4 linked regions of the Mus musculus genome follow. The protein of the gene in region 1 interacts with the protein of each later gene in a pairwise test. Links are inferred from orthologs where the notes say so. Each region holds a gene or a part of one and is shown in the gene's direction. Other genes may lie near its edges.

Region 1 (4,018 bases):
GAGGGTGAGCTGCAATGTTGCTGAGTCTGGTTTCCAACTCCTGGGGTTCAGCAGCACCCCTTCCTCAGCCTCCGCAGATGGCTGTGTCTCACTAGAAGCATAAGCAATGGTCTGTTCTGGGGACACCTGTATGAATGTCATGGAACACCTATGCTAACACCATCAGGATGCAGAATGATGCACCAGTCTTACACACTTTCTGGGACTCCAGTGTAAGAAGCCCTCACGGAATTCCACAACCCTGCATGCACTCCTCTCTATGTAAGACTCCCACTGTCCTGAACTGTATGGCTGACCCCCATGGTCTCTATTCACCCACCATAACAATTCCTCGAAGGTGGGGACAGCTGAAACAAGGAAACCCCTTCCATCTCGACAGCCACCAGCCTACTCCACAGGCAGTGCCACACACTTGGCTAATGCCCTTATCTTGAACGTGGCTTTCAACCCTTGCTAGAGGCTGTCTGTAAAGAACAAGATATAAACTACCCAAGGAAAGGATTCACTGTCTTTCCCAATCTAGTTTCAAGTTCCTCTGTCCCACCTTATCAGCCTCTTAAAATTCTTTCAGCTTCAATTTAATGCAGTGCTATCAATATGGATTTAAATCTCTTCTTCCCCCCAGTTTGAGCCAATCTCCTGCCTCCTCCCTACACACATCTACAGTGCCCGGTACTCGCCCTTGAACCTTTATTAGATTTAGTCTAAGCCACTCTCCCCATTCAAACCTGGGGACTATTTATCTTCACCCTCACAACCATCTTCCAACTGGTTTCGAGTCCTTGTCTGCCAGGCGTGAAGAGACAGGAATGTACAAAAGTCCCGATCCAGAAGCAGACACCCTCCAGTAAACGACCTTGAACGCGTGCCCTCAGGGCAGCTCTCCTAACTGTGGGTGCCCTTAGGCATGAGGTGTCTCATCTCTGCAACACTCTGCCGCCAGAACCCAAACCAGCAAGCTCTGCCCTGGGGGAGGCGGGCTATGTTGTCATATGATTCTCTAATCACATGATCCCTAGAAATGGGGTGTGGGGAGAAAGAGGAAAGGGAGGAGGAATGTGAACTGAGTAGAAAAGAAACACAGCATTCCAGGAGAGTCCCGCCTCTACGTAGACAAGTAACCAATGGAAGCCCTGGATCTCCGAGCAATGGCTAATGGAAATTGAGGTGGGCGGGCCATCGTGCGGCCAAGCCCTAGTCCTGGAGCTGACCGCCAGATGCCTCCCAGGGAGCCCGGACCCCGACGCAGGTAGGAGGACCCTCTGCAGACAATCTCCCCGGCTACTGTCCAGAGGTCCAGAGGCCTGACCAGGCTGCCTGTGCAATTGAGGGTCCTCTGGAGTCTCAGCTCAGAGACAAGAGAAGACCTGCCTCTTGAAACTCCCCTAGGGGTTTCTGATGCACTAACGAGGTTGTTTTTTTCTTTTCTTTTTTGGAGGGGTGGGGGCAGTTGTTGTAGAGACACCTCCCCGCACCCCCTCCCCCCCAATAAGAGGCTTCTCTTGCCCAGCATGTCGGAAAGCTGCAGGCCTTTCTCCAGGACAGGAACCACCCCACTCTTGGGCCAGCTCCTCTCTTGTCCGTACTTCCCACCTCTGTCTCCAGGTCCGGCTCTTTCTCTTTCGGACGCTGCAAGTGTTCTCTGCGGCGGCGTGCATTGGGTGGGGATCTCCGGCCCTTGGCCCCCAGAGCTCAAAGGGGTTGCGAGCAGGACCAGGGCGTGATGGCTGAGTCCCTGGGTTGTGTCAGCTTTATTTCCTTTCTTGGGGGGCGAGAGAGCTAATTTCCGCCTCTCCCCGCCACTTTTCCCCCGCTGCCTCTCATCTGGATTGGCTCACCTTTTAGGAAATTCATTTCCCCTCGACACTCAGAGTTGGGGGGTGCCACCTAGTGGAAGATGTCGGAGCTAGGGCTTTGAAAGGCTCCAGTTCTCCCTAGCTGTGTAGTGTAGAGGTGGCCAGGGGCTCACCACTCCCTAGCCCCGTTGAGAGGAACTGGGTCTTCCCTACCCCTTCCTGGTTAGGAGATGGCCTCTGGGATGTTCTTTGAATTAGGTGAAAGGGCACTTGAAAAGACCTAGAGAAGGAAAGAGAAAGATGGCAGATCCTTCTATGTAGCCCAGGCTGGCCTGGGATTCACCTTATAGCCCAAGTTGGCCTGGCACTTGCAACCCTCCTACCTCAGCCTCCCAAATGCTGGGATCAAAAGCATGCCTGCCATGTGTGGGTGGCATTTCCTGTCTTTCATAGCCACCAGTGTCCAGGCAGAGAAGAATTGAGACACAGGGAGCAATTTCTGACATAGAGTGTCACTTCCAGGACTAAAACCCAAGTCTCTGTACCTACTTTTTAAATATTTTATTATTATTATTATTATTATTATTATTATTTTTTTTTTTTTTTTTTTTTTTTGGTTTTTCGAGACAGGGTTTCTCTGTGTAGCCCTGGCTGTCCTGGAACTCACTCTGTAGACCAGGCTGGCCTCAAAACCAGAAATCTGTCTGCCTCTGTCTCCCAAGTGCTGGGATTAAAGGTGTGCACCACCACCGCCCGGCTCCCACCCTGTTTCTATCCTGCTTGGGTCACCTGCCAGAAAAATGCTCTGTCCTGTCCTGTTTGGACCTCTGGCCTCTGGGATTCAGGGTCCTTCTCTGACAATATTCAGGGAGACCAGTTGGCATATGAACCCAGTCCCATATCCCGTCTTTTTTCCCTGACTTGATCCTTAGGCATGGATTTGAAAAGTGAAAGTAATATTATAATTACTGTTTTGCATAGTTGTTGCAGAGAAATACAGTAAGGAGAGGGAGAAAGACTCCCTAGAGGGTCTTTGAATATTGTTGGGTCATTCTGGGTTGCTGGGTAGGCCAGCTGGGCTGGGGAAAGGCTTATTAGGGAAGTGAGAGGCTCGGTTCCTCCTGCTGAGGCAGTGAGGCACTGTGCTGGGTCTTCCCACTTGCAGCTGAGTTTCGGTTTCTGAGGGGGGAGAGACGGAGGCGGTCCGTTTGAGGTGCCCTGGTGATGTCGGGAAGGGCTCACCATGAAGTTAGCTTTAAGGCTGATCCAGTCTCTGTGTCCCCTTCCCTTGGGTGGGGTGGGGGGACAGTTGTGGGTAGGCGGTGGCTGGCCCATAGGGAAGCCAGACCAGACCCCACTGACCACTGCACTTCTGTTTTTACAACTTTCTCCACTGCTCGGTTTCCCATATGATCATGTGACTGATGACTGTCCCTCTCCATCCCCCAAGGCTTTTGAAAGCTACAGGTGGCAGTTCAGTGCCGGCAGTGGGGCTGGCCATCCTCCTGTGTCTGCTGAGGTCTCCTCTGCCTCCCAGTTAGCCCACAGTCCCATAGATAAAGCCACAAAAGCCACATGCCTTCCTGACTGCCATACCCCGTGCCCCCCCCCCCCACTTACCCAGAGTCTCAGCCGTATGTGAGGCCATGAATCCACACGTGTTCATGCCCACAGTGTGTGCCAGCTGACGCATGTGCGCTTGCTGCACACTGGTAGGACGCTGACACAAGCGACACATCTGCTTGCTTTCCTGTTGGCTTGTTGAGAAGACTCAATGAAGCCAGGGCCTTGGTCAGAGCACAGGGGAGTGCGTGGCCTCAGAGTAGAAGGTGGCACAGAGTTTAAGGTGGCTGCCAAACTTTGCTTGGCATTTGTAGGCAGACCATGTGGGTCCTGATGAGCTGGCTGGCCTTCGCGGCAGGGCTGGTAGCCGGAACACAGTGTCCAGATGGGCAGTTCTGCCCTGTTGCCTGCTGCCTTGACCAGGGAGGAGCCAACTACAGCTGCTGTAACCCTCTTCTGGTGAGTGCCTCCTGCCCCAGTTGGCACCCCGGGCCTTTTGAAGGGCTGGCTACCTTGGATTGACCAGAGCAAGGCTGGCACAGACCCTTTGGTTGATGTCATCTCTTCTTTCCAGGACACATGGCCTAGAATAACGAGCCATCATCTAGATGGCTCCTGCCAGACCCATGGCCACTGTCCTGCTGGCTATTCTTGTCTTC
Region 2 (4,160 bases), on another chromosome or scaffold:
TTCTTATTGAAGAATTAAATAAACTGATTAAAACTCGCCTCTAGTTTGATATGGTATGTTGTAGATTGGTGGTATGGGCCACTAGCCAGAAGTCATAGGAAGGCCCCCTTGCAGCAGCACCCTACTTCATCCTGTCGTTAGAGACTATTTCCGAGACTTGTGGAGGCTGTAGGGATGGATGTCACTCCCTGATGCTTGGAGTGGAGCTGGTCAGGCCTAGCAAGGTCCTCATGGAGGGTGCACTTTCCCTCTATGTTTGTAGTTCCAGAGTGTGTCCATTTGCTCTTAGAAATATCCATAAACTTAATTGGCTCCTAACTCTGGCACATACATCATTACTGGCCAAATGTGGCTCTGGAAGGCATAAATGCTGTGGTAACCTGCCCGACCTGTCCTATGGGGCTGTCTCAGTTTCCCTAGCAGTAAGACAGCTTTCATTTGTAGGATTCTGTTAGCTAACTTGGTCAGGCTGGAAAGAGCTCAGTTAAGCACTTGTTCGTGCAGAGGATCCAGGTTTGCTTCCCAGCACTCACATGGTGGCTCATAGCCTGTAATTATAACTGTAACTCCAGTTCCAGATGATCTAAGTATATGTGTTGCACATACATAGTTATACACACAAGTGCACTAATAAAAATGTGACTGCATGTGTAGATAAGAGTACAGTGCTCAGGAGTCCCTTCTGTCGCCTAGAAGGATCAAACTAGGAGGGATCAAACTCGGGTCCTTGGTTCTGTTCACAAGTTTCTCTACAGCTGAGTCATCTCACCTTATGATCTCCAGTTAGGTTTTTTTTTTTTTTTTTAAATTGTTTTTGTTGTTGGGTTTGTTTCCTTTTTGAGACAGGGTCTCACTAATATATATATATATATATATATATATATATATATATATTCCTTTCTGGTCTAGAACTGACTCACTGAGATGTCCCTGCTCTTGTTTCCTGAATGCTGGGATTAAAGGTGTGCAACCCTGAGCCTGTCACTTCTAGGAGAACTTCTTTCACCCTTAGTCATCCTGCACTGCCTTCCTCCTCTCCATACACCAAATCAAGCTCACCTACACTCTGTGTATGCTCAGGCTACATACCTGCAATTTCAGTCCGCCAGGTGGGTTACTCAAGAGTTCAAGAGTCTGTACTTCAAAAACTGAACCACATACGGATTTGAAAAATAAAAAACTGGGAGAACTGACCAGAACTCCTGTTTTTTCCGAATGCTAATTAATACCTTATGTGACTTTGAAGCCAAGCCATCGGCTAGACACCAGGTAGTGTGGCCTCTGACTATCAGCCACTCAGTGCAGACGTCCTGTTTAGTGCGCGTTTGCTTGGAGCTCATTGGTTCATGTCCCTGTCAGTCACACGGGGCCTGGACATGGCGGTCGCAGGGAGCTGGCAGGTGAGTGTGCTTGGCTCCTGGGCTCCTGGGCTGGGTGGGATCAGGCCCTGGGGGCTGCCCGCGCTCTCCGCTGTCTCTCCCCGCAGCCTCCCCGGCCGTGCGAGGTCTACCGCGCCGAGTGGGAGCTCTGCCGCAGCGTCGGGCACGTCCTACACCACTACTACGTCCACGGCAAGCGGCCGGATTGCAGGCAGTGGCTCCGCGACCTGACTAACTGCCGCGAGTGGGAGGAGAGCCGCAGCGCCGAGGCCCAGGTGCGGGCTGGGTGTGGATGTATGCGCAGATCCTTGGGGCAACTCTCTCGTGTTTCTCTCCTGAGTACCAAACTGCGTTATCAACGAGACTTTAGACAGCCTCAGTTACGGGGTGGGGCGGCGCGGGGAGGGGGGCGCAGAAGGAAGGGAAGTATAGAGAGGCTTGGAGAGAGTAACCTTATAGCGTTAGAGTCATCAGCTTGACAGCAAGCTTGCCTTCACCCAGCCCTTGGGGATAGGACGGAGGAAGAGAAAAGCCAACGTGTCTGGAGCACGAGGGTGGGCTATAGAGGGCATAAGAATGAGTCCAAGAGCACCTAAAAATGTTCCAGTACTTGTGAATTGAGTTATCTTTGGCAGGTCAGTCTGGACCTGAGAGTGTGAAGGGTACTGTAGAGGACAGAGACAAGTATGGAGGCTGTTGCTGGACCTTTTCGAGGGAGATGTGAAGAAACCTCTACTTACTCTAGATAGCCATGTAGACATGGCGAAAGTAAAAAACATGGCGGAAAGCAAAAGACTGGAAACTTAACTGTCTGTAACTATATGTCAGCTATCATAAATTAGTGTAAGAAACAAAGATGTTTCTGAATAGAGAAATGGCCAGGGTCATGGAGAAGCAATTCACCGGGAAACTCAGAACACAGAAGCAATTATTTCTTTATTTTATTTTTATTTTTTTTTATTTATTTTTTTTTGTTGTTGTGATTGAGACAGGGTTTTTCTGTATAGCCCTGGCTGTCCTGGAACTCACTGTAGACCAGGCTGGTTTTGAACTCAGAGTTCCGTCTGCCTCTGCCTCCTGAATTCTGGGATTAAAAGCGTGTGCCACAACCACTAGGCTTCTATATAGTTTTTAAAGTACTTTTATTCTTATTTTATGTGTGTTTTTCCTGCATATTTATCTGTACCATGTGAATCTACTGCCTGAGGGTCCTCTGGAACTGTAGTTTCAGATGGTTGTAAGCTGATGTTTGAGTGCTGGGAACCGAATCCCAGTCCTCTGGAAAGCAGCCTCTAACTGCTGAGGGATCTCTCTAGTCCTTACAAGCCTTTTTAAAAAGTCTTTGTGTGTGCGAGTGCGTGGCATGCGTGTGTATATATGTGCACACATTGCATGTAGAGAGACCCTCTGTTGACATTAGGCATCTTCCTCAGTCACTTCCCACCTTATATACTGAGGCAGGATCTCTCTGAACTTGGACGTCTCCATCTCCTGAGTGCTGGGACTACAGGCATTCACCCACATACTAGGCCCCTATTTGCTTCTTTGTTTTGTTTTGTTTTGTTTTGTTTCGAGACAGGGTTTCTCTATATAGCCCTGGCTGTCCTGGAACTCACTCTGTAGACCAGGCTGGCCTGGAACTCAGAAATCCTCCTGCCTCTGCCTCCCAAGTGCTGGGATTAAAGGCGTGTGCCACCACTGCCCGGCTCCTATTTGCTTATTAAGTAATAATGATCATGTGATCATGTTAGAGATGGGGTCTGGCTGTATAGCCCAGGCTGGTTTGGAACTTCAGATCCTTTTGGCTTTGTCTGCCAACTGTTGGGAATACTACCGCTCCCAGTTTAAGAATGTTTGTAAAGAGGCCTACATAGCACCTGACACTTTGCCAGGATCAGCCCTGTCATAATACACTGTCTAGTGTCTGTTGGCAGTGGCTGAAAGAAGCTGGCAGGATGGGGGGCACCTTTTACACATACCCTGTGCAGAGTCCAACAGTAATTTTAGACGCTCTCCCTCTCTTCCCCACCCAGTGTCCTCACTCCCAGGCTAGGCGGGTAACTAGCTCCACACTCTCCAGGTCTGCTGTTGCTGAGGCTTAGCGGGTTTTGCATGGCTGAAGGCAGAGACTGAACATAGTTGTGCATGCTTATAATTGCGGCACTCGGGAGGTGGAGACAACAATCTCAGAATTGAAGGTCATACATAGTGATCTTGAGACCAGCCTGGGCTACTTGAGACCCTGTCTAAAACATGTCCAAAGAACACAAAATAAAACTGCTGAAGTAAGATGACCGGTGTGTGCTAAAACAGAACAGTTGCCAAGGAGTGTGGTATAGAAGCAGCTGAGCCTGTGTGTACCATGTGCTCCCATGTGTTCCTCTCTTCAGAAGAGTGTTGAGGAAGAGGGTGATATAGGTGCCATGCAGCAGTACTAAGAGCCCTAGGATCCAGTGGTGAAACAGTAAGTGACCAAGTCTCATTTGTACAGCGATCCCTCTGTGAGAGCGAGCAGGTTCGGGTCCAGGCTGCTCAGAAGCACACCTTGGTATGGGCCTTGAGGCAAAGGCCCCCTACGGACTGGAACCTCCCTCTACCACAGGAGAAGGACAAGTGATAAGCAACTGCAACCCTACCCTTGACCTAGACTTTGACTGGCTCTTACTTGACCTGGAACACAGAGCAAAGCATTTCCAGCCCTAATTGCCTGCTGCCCACTGGATCTGGGCATTTCATCACTGTAATACTCTGAAAGACACCTGTGTGCACATGCTGGAAGCC
Region 3 (4,066 bases), on another chromosome or scaffold:
CCAGCCCTGGGCAGCCCCAGCAGGCCTGGCTTCTGCTCTGCACAGGGTCTTCAAACCCTTGCTCTAAGCCATATTCATCCCCCAGGGCTGTCTCTAGTGATACAGGGCTGGTAAACAGACCCATTGACTCCTCTGTCTGGAAACAGGAATGTCCAAGGATGGGGTGAGGTGACATTTACCTCAGATACAGGGTGCTTCAGGCCTGGCAAGGTTTGTCACAGCACATCTGACCACTCTCTCCAGGATCCTAAATGAGTGCATGTGAATGCACACAGTGCATATGTGTGAGAAGAGGAACACACACACACACACACACACACACACACACACACACACACACACACGCTAACAGCCATACAAGTGCCAGCAATTAGCCTCCACTATTCCATGACAGAAGTTCCTAGGTAGGGTTTGCCTATACTTCCTTGCTCCAGAGGAGCCCTGGGAGGTAGCCTACCTTCTTGCATGAGACCGCTTATCTAGCCAGGAGGCCACTAATGCAGTGTCTTGGTCCTCCCTCAGAACTCCCTCCCTGGACCAGCATCCTCCCATAAGCAGGTGACTATCAAAAACCCCTGACCTGGAGGCTGGCGAGATGGCTCGGCAGGTTAAAGGTACTTACCAGGAAGTCTGGTTACCAAGTTTGATCCCTGAGACCCACATAGTGGAAAGAAAGAATAGAGTCCCGTCCCCCCCCACCCGCCACCCCAAGTGTACTTTGATCCCTCTCTCTCTCTCTCACACACACACTAAAAATAAAGCTCAGGGCCAGACAGTGGTGGTGCACGCCTTTAATCCCAGCACTTGGGAGGCAGAGGCACGCATACTTCTGAGCTCGAGGCCAGCCTGGTCTACAAACTGAGTTCCAGGACAGCCAGGGCTATTCAGAGAAATCCTGTCTCGAAAAGCCAATAAAATAAAATAAAACAAAATAAAATAAAACAAAACAAAGCTCGATCTTGCTCATTGTGCACAGTGGGATGAGGCTCATCTTTGCAGAATTCCCCTTCCCAGCCCTTTCCCCTGACCTTGAGCTCCAGAAAGCAGGCGCTACTCAGATTTGAAACTAGAAGTCTTCCTTACAGGGCCGAGTCCTGTTACTTTGGTTTGCCTTACTTTGGTTAGCGACAACAGGTACACTGGCACAGAGGGGGCGGGGCGCACCCCAGCCCCGCCCCCTCCGCGCTCCCCGGGTCCCCGCCCGCCGCGGTGTCGCCCGGCCTTGGCAGCTGCGGGCGCGGCGCGAGGCGATCCGGACGCGGCAGCGGGGACTAGGAGCGAGAGGAGGGCGAGCCGCGCAGCCCCGGCCCACGGAGACATGAGCGCGCGGCCGCCCACCGCACCCCAGGCGCAGTGGCCCAGCCCCGCCGCCCCGTGATGGGATCCTGTGTGTCGCGAGGTGAGGACAGGGCGGCCCGGGACGCAGCGAGAAGCGGGGGGCGGGGGGGGGGGCACCAGCGCTCCGCTCAGGGAAGCCAGGGTGGGTGTCCGCCCTTCATGGATCAGCCGCGCCCCAGAGGACACGGTGCGCCCCACGGGGACAGAGCTCGGGAGGGGGGCGAGCAGCGCGCAGAGGGGACGGAGGTCTCCGCACCCCACGCCCCACTCGGCACCCGGCAGGTGGCATGAAGCAAGGTCCGGTGCCATGCTTTCTTCCCCGCAGCTACACGCCTCCTGCAGTGTGCCTGAGAGGGGAGGGAGCCTTCCTATTTTTTCTGGTCCTCTTATGGGCCACTGAGCTCCAGGAAGACCTCGCTCCCGCTCAAGATGCCGGCAGGCCTTTTTAAGCCAGGATCCCATTTCTCCTCTCAGGGTGCCTGTGTCTTTAGCCCCAGAACCCTACCCCCACCCCACGCAGGAAGGGGTCAGTAGGGATGAACAGGTTATCAAGGCTCCCTCTTCCCCACCCTCATCCCTAACTCCATCCCCACCCCCACCCCTGCTCAGGGGACAGGAGAGGACAGAGGACAGCTGATGCTCCCAGTAACCCCTGGGCCTTTGTCTCTCACCTGGCACCTTGGCCATTCCAAGGTGATTCCAGAGAACTGGAGTGACTGTCCCTCATCTGTGGGGTTTGGGGAGAGCACTGTCTGTAAATGGGTGTGTGTGTGTGTGCATAGGATCTTTCATAGATGCTGTGGGGAGGGAATATTTGTATTTGGAGTAATATTTTAGGAGAGGTTGCGGAGTATGGGGACATGCCTGCACTCAGAAAGTGGAAGATCAAGAGCTCAAGGCCAGCATCCACAGCATAGAGAATTTGAGGCCAACCTGGGCTACATGAGAGCCTGTGTCAAAAAAAAAGCAAACACCTCAAAAGAGGTTGGGTCATGCCGGGAGTGGTGGTGCACGCCTTTAATCCCAGCACTTGGGAGGCAGTGGCAGGTGGATTTCTAAGTTCGAGGTCAGCCTGGTCTACAAAGTGAGTTCCAAGACAGCCAGGGCTATACAGAGAAACCCTGTCTCAAAAAACCAAAAAAAAAAAAAAAAAAAAAAAAGAGGTTGGGCCATTGTCCCACTTGGGAGTCTTACCCACTGTGGGAGCAGGGGGCGGGGCCAGGAGTGAGAGTGTACAGAGGTCAAGTCTACTCACCTCAGCCCCAAGGTCTTGCAAGACTGACATTGTATTGGTCACTGGTAATTTACCCAGACAGAGAAAGGTAAAATGGCCTTAGAGTGGGCTGGCAGGCCCCCTGGGGACACCCCAGGAGGGGGTGTTGGAATGTTGGAAGCAGCCCTCTCCCATTCTCTGGACTTTGAGGGCTTCCTCAGGTTCCCGGGGGAGTGTTGAGGGAAGTGACTCAGGGGGTCCCCGGAAGGTGACAGCAGGAGGGACAGGAGGAGCATGGTCAGGCTGTATGAAGTTGGTTCAAGTTGATTGGGGGTGACGAGGTACTTCCTGAGTGTCAGGCACCACGTTAGAAGCAGCTGGGAAAATCCAGTATGGCTCCTGGTCTGTTGAGACCTGAGGAACCCAGCCTGGCATCTGGCCAATGGGACAGTTCTCAGAGTGGAAAGCCCTGAAGGGTCTTTTAGGTCTACTCTCAGAGTCTGAGCTGTCCCCAGAAGCCCCAACGACTCATGGATGGCCTTCCATGAAGGCAGTTGTGGGTGTGAGGTATCTGGATATTTTTTCCTTAGTGACCAGGTCCCTTCTCCACCCCTTGGCCAACCCATGCCGGAGTGCACTGGCCCGTGAGCACAGGAGCCACCCAGAACAGTATAGAGGCCAGACAGCAGTGATGCCTGCCAAAGTCACACTGAGTCTGTGGCCTGGGGTCTCCAAGTCCCGTGCTCCTCCCGTACTCCCCTCTGCCAGGGCAGTTTGTGGTCACGCTGGCTGGGACAGTCTCCATTCTTCATCCTGCATCTTGGGCTTCCTGAGTGACACCCCCAAATCAAGCTGCATTGTCTTAACTTCTCTGTCCTGAGAGGTCTCAACGTGCACTCCAGCAAACTTAGAAGCGAGAGATCTGGTGGATACGTGGACAGAGGTCAGCCATCCTTCTAGAGACCCAGCTGATGACCCACTGGGCAGAGGTTACCTGCTCGCCTGTCACTTGGACGGTTTTATGGCTCACTGGGCTCTACTCTAAAACCCTGTAGGCACAGAAACTAATGCATCCAAATACTATGGTCAGCCCCATTTTACAAGTGACTACGCGACCTTGCCTAGGGCCATAAACTGGGAAAGAGCAAGGACCCGGCTCTGAGTTCTCCACAGCTAGGCCCTCAGCCTCAGCACCACGGAGCCAGCCCTTGTGGAGTTCAGACTGTTGACCACAGTCCCCACCTGCCAAGGGTTTTCATGGGCCATGCACAGAGCCTGGAGTGGAGGTCAGGGATCATGAACTTTGCACGAATGTCCCATGGAGTCTAGCAGGTCCCCCTCTTCCAGGTCCAGGCCATACCTGAAAGATCCACCCTGCCCAGCTGTTAGCCTCTGCTGCTGGGCTACAGGATCAAGAGTCCCTAGTCCCTGCCAGTGTTCCCCAGTGTGTCATCTTAGCAAGTTCAATGGGGATGGGAACGGTGTGGGAGTGTTAGAATGGGTGGGGGGAAGGTC
Region 4 (4,034 bases), about 80 Mb from region 1:
ATCGCGGTGCTCCGCTCTACCTTGCTCTCGGCGGCTGCCGAACTCACCCACGCACATACTGTGGTTCAAACTTTTCGCCCGCCTGTTGGGGTGAGAACGGCAGAAGATGAGGAAAAAGAACTAGGAAAGAGTGTAAGTGTGGTCCCTAGTATTCAGTAGGAGATGCCATGTAAAAATATTGCCTTGTTCGGGGTTGGGCCGAAAATACTCTTCCCTCTCGCTTTGAAAAGTACACACAAGAAGACGATCTCAGCAAGTTTATTCGGCTGGAAACTGGGGTCTGCCAGTAAGAACAATCCGGGGAAATTGTTTCGAGGAGGCTCCTCCAGTAAGGTGTAGAAAATGAAGTGAGAGGGATCGGGGTGTGTAGCCACATTTTCCACCAGACTGTTCGTTGTAGGTGGAGATCTGGAAAGACTGACAGATTGTGAAAAAGAAAGTTTTCTATCAAATCCATGAGAGAGAGAGAGAGAGAGAGAGAGAGAGAGAGAGAGAGAGAGAGAGAGAGAGAGAGAATGTAAGGAGATTTGAGTTCCAACGGTTCCGAAGAAGCTTTTAGGACTTGCGAACACCTTTGGTGAGACTGCCTGGGAGCCCCTGGAAACGCTGTGCAGCTGGGAATTGGCGGCGCCTCCCCTGCCGGTGCTCTTTCTGGGCGCAAGAGTCCCGGGTCGCCGCAGGGCGCCCTGCGCGCCGAGAGCTGCACCCCCACTCCCGGCTCCGCTCAGCAGCCCGCGCCGGCGGCGACCGCTGGTTGTGGGGGAGCGGAGGAGGAGTTGCTGGGGCCCCAGGGAGCATCAAGGAGTGCCAGGGGCCAGCACGCCCCGAGTCCTCGGCCTGGGAAGCCTGGCTCCCACAGTGCGGCAGAGCCTGGCGGCGCGCGCGCGCGAGCAGGAACCGGTTATCCAGCAGCTTGACGCCACTCCTCCGGAGCGCGGCCCGGGCAAGGGGAGGGCGGGGGCCCTCGGGCGAGCCTTGGGACCCGGGGCCCCCTCTGTGCCAGCAACTCCGGCGCAGCCTTCGCCCTCCTCAACTCGTTCTGAGCGGAATTTGCCAACCTAGACCCAGAGTTAGCGCGCGACCGGGGCGGGGCCGGCGCGCGGGGAGGGAGGAGGTGGGGGCGAGGGAGGGCGGGGGCGCGCGGAGGTAACCCGGGCTCGCCATTGCCCAGCTCCCTGTCACTCAGTCCGCTCTAGGCCCCCTATTGGAGGCCGAGCCCCGTTACGCACTCGCCTCGCGTTCACATACCCGGGGAGGGCAGTAGAAAGGTGATCAATCTTCATCAGGCTACATTTCCAATCACCTAAACAACCGAGCAAGACAAGCCACTCCGACAAGGTAAATTGCTTGATTTATTTAGTTTGCCAAGTGACTATGCAGGATTTCTCCAGTCCCTACCGCCTCCGGCTTGCTCCGAGAGAGTGCAGCTGCCAGCGCAAGCCACCTCCTAACTCTGTCCCTCGAACACCCCCTACTCACCCACCCCACCCCCCGGGTCCCGGGCGAGGCCAGGTCTTGAGAGGAAAAGCATGTGGGACTTTGCAACAAAGTGTTTGAGCAATAAAGTGAAACCTGGAGGTACACGCACAGAGCTCCTAGAAAAAATGCAGGAGACGGGAAGAGGGAAGTTGAGGGAAGAGGAAAGCCTAGGGTCCCGCCGTCTCCGGGGTAATACCTGTGCGCCTCCGTTTTGCAGGTTGGCTGCCGGCGAGTCTCGGTGAAGGCGAGAGGTAGATGGTGAAAAGCCGCGACTGCGGAGGGCAGGTAAGGAGGGAGTCGCCGGGCCGCGCGCCACCCCGGGACGATGGTGGCCCCTCTCGTCTCCCCGTCCTCTAATCGACCCCCGCTACCTCTGTCCGGGGCAGGTGGGCGGGGTTGGAGTGAGAGGCCGGGCGCCCCTTGGCTGCCCTGGGGACCCCAGGCCGCTCGGGAGCCGGCCGCCCCCTCCCCCGCCTCCTCCGAAGCTGCGGAACTGGGCTGCTAAGTTAGACGAAAGTACTCGAAAACTCACACCGCAGCCGGGCTTAGCCGCGGAGGCTGCAGGCCTGTGGCCCTTCGGCCCAAGCTCTTTGAATCCTTCCTTTCCGCCTTATGTGCTCGCTGACCTCCCCCCACCCCCTTAGTCTAGGCTGAGGGTCCCCCAGGGCTGAGGCGGGGAAAGGAGTTGGGATGGGGGAGCTGCTTTAGTTTTACCTCCCTTTCTCCCCGGAATCTCCTACCCTTGGGTCCTGGGATGTAGCTTCAAGCCCCCCGCCGGTCCCAGTCATACTCCCAGAACCCCTTCTTTTGCTGGAGCAGAGCTGCGTGGGCTCAGAGTGTCTGCGCCGAGCCTCGCCCTCCCGGTCGGCTGTGCGTGAGCTTTACAACCTGAGGCCTAGTTCCTTGCTCTCCATCGGGTTCATATAGGACGGCCGATGCGACGCGACCTGGCACGCTAGGCCTTCCAAAATCCCTAGAATGTTTGGGGCGCTGGGTTGGCCATCAAATTCTGGTGGGACTCGGTGTGCTTAGCAGACTTGGTAGAAAGAAGGCCCGCCTGTGCGAGCAAAGGAAGAGGGGTGACCGCCTCGGAGGTACCCCTGACCTTGGGCGGCATCCTGAAACTGCCACTTCTACTGTGGTGCCTTTGGCGTCTTCTTGCCGCCTTAGCCTGGCCTGGGCCGCATCTACCCTGGAGGTGCGGTGGGATTCCTGTTCAGCTATCTCTTAGTGCTAGGGGCCCAGAGAGGTCAACTAGAAAGGTGATTGCAGGCTCTGGGGTAGGAGGCAGCGCTGGAGATCTTTGAAGAAATGATGTGGCCAGTGAGCCTTGGCGACCCAAGGTGTATTCACCTTGGGCCTCTGTATTACTTGCCATTTTGTCCCTCTTTCAAAAATATTTCAAACTAAACGAAATAACCCGGTATCTCTGTGCGGCCTGCCCTCCCGGCGCCAAATGAACATTTGCTTGAGCAAATTGCTTCCGCCACACTAAAAAAAAAATTGACTTCACTTGGGATTTTGCACCCTCCGCGGTCCCGGCTCTCACCTCCTCAGCCTGATCACGCTTTAACTTTTCCTTCCTGTTGACACTCGAGGAGTGTCTTTGGCCCTTGTCAAGCCCTAAAAGAGGAAGGAACGATGTGGGAAAAGTTTACTTTCCTGAGAAGCTGTGTAGCTGCCGAGCTAAAGGAGAAGACGTTTCTCGGATTGCCTGCTGTGCAGTTCCTAGCACGCGCCCCCTCCCCATTCAAGGATTAGAGGAGCTGAAAGCCAAACTGACTGCGGGTGAAGGTTTCCATGTGTCTGCTGTCTCCCTAGGCCAGGCCCCCAGAAGCAACAGCTTGAAGGACTTCGCAGTGGGAGCCCTGAACTGCTCCTGGCCTCAGGCCCCCTGGATCCGTCGGGGCACCTCCACCCGGCTGTTAGCATGATGTCTTACCTCAAACAACCCCCATACGGCATGAACGGGCTGGGCCTAGCTGGCCCTGCCATGGACCTCCTGCACCCCTCCGTGGGCTACCCTGGTGAGCAGTGGCCCTCTGCCCCTACCCTCAAACCTCTGTAAATATTGGGGGATTCCATCCTCTACAGTTTGAGCCCACACAGTCCCTAAACAGACCCAGGAAGGTGATTAGCTCGCCGCCTGTTGCCTTGCTCTGTAGAAAGTGCAGCCTACAACTTTTGAGCTTGTGGTGCCTGCAACCTGGCTCCTCTTGTGTCCCACTTGCTAGGGAGGGCAGGTTTATCCCTCCCCCTGCCCCCGGATTTATTTCCCTCAGTTGCTTTTTTTAAAAATATAAAAAATAAAACCTTTCCCTGGTCCAACATTTCATGAGGAATCTGGACACTCACTAGGCCCTAACATAGCCAAATTTTTCTTATGTCTAGCTTCCCTGAGAAGTAGGGTTTTTTTTTTTTCTCCATAGAGAAACCTCAAGACCAGTGATTTGTCCCAACTCTTCTGGCATGATGGGGGACTCCAGCTGAGCCCTGGGTTTCTTTTCTAGATCCTACTTATTTAACATGAGTTTATTCTCTTGGAAAAAGTGACC

Evidence for each region.
Region 2: the proteins of Grn (region 1) and 2510002D24Rik interact in binary tests that used the Homo sapiens proteins (3 or more experiments, as listed by UniProt). The link is inferred for Mus musculus from reciprocal best matches to the Homo sapiens genes GRN and C22orf39.
Region 3: the proteins of Grn (region 1) and Fam131c interact in binary tests that used the Homo sapiens proteins (3 or more experiments, as listed by UniProt). The link is inferred for Mus musculus from reciprocal best matches to the Homo sapiens genes GRN and FAM131C.
Region 4: the proteins of Grn (region 1) and Otx1 interact in binary tests that used the Homo sapiens proteins (3 or more experiments, as listed by UniProt). The two-hybrid records come from large-scale screens. The link is inferred for Mus musculus from reciprocal best matches to the Homo sapiens genes GRN and OTX1.

The regions. Positions count from the first base shown.
Region 1 is NC_000077.6:102,429,292-102,433,309, forward strand, and holds the start of Grn (progranulin precursor), read left to right. Parts: upstream 1-1,215; 5' UTR 1,216-1,249; intron 1,250-3,673; 5' UTR 3,674-3,680; coding exon 3,681-3,818; intron 3,819-3,933; coding exon 3,934-4,018. UniProt on the Homo sapiens protein: Secreted protein that acts as a key regulator of lysosomal function and as a growth factor involved in inflammation, wound healing and cell proliferation. Regulates protein trafficking to lysosomes, and also the activity of lysosomal enzymes.
Region 2 is NC_000082.6:18,835,220-18,839,379, forward strand, and holds the start of 2510002D24Rik (UPF0545 protein C22orf39 homolog), read left to right. Parts: upstream 1-1,360; 5' UTR 1,361-1,376; coding exon 1,377-1,400; intron 1,401-1,486; coding exon 1,487-1,654; intron 1,655-3,870; coding exon 3,871-3,996; 3' UTR 3,997-4,160. UniProt on the Homo sapiens protein: Negatively regulates long-term potentiation and modulates adult synaptic plasticity. Stabilizes the interaction of RTN4 isoform A/Nogo-A with its receptors, inhibiting clustering of postsynaptic AMPA receptors at synaptic sites.
Region 3 is NC_000070.6:141,366,926-141,370,991, forward strand, and holds the start of Fam131c (protein FAM131C), read left to right. Parts: upstream 1-1,266; 5' UTR 1,267-1,377; coding exon 1,378-1,399; intron 1,400-4,066.
Region 4 is NC_000077.6:21,998,852-22,002,885, reverse strand, and holds the start of Otx1 (homeobox protein OTX1), read left to right. Parts: upstream 1-1,234; 5' UTR 1,235-1,338; intron 1,339-1,696; 5' UTR 1,697-1,764; intron 1,765-2,301; exon of another isoform or gene 2,302-2,452; intron 2,453-3,028; exon of another isoform or gene 3,029-3,300; 5' UTR 3,301-3,409; coding exon 3,410-3,506; intron 3,507-4,034. UniProt on the Homo sapiens protein: Probably plays a role in the development of the brain and the sense organs. Can bind to the BCD target sequence (BTS): 5'-TCTAATCCC-3'.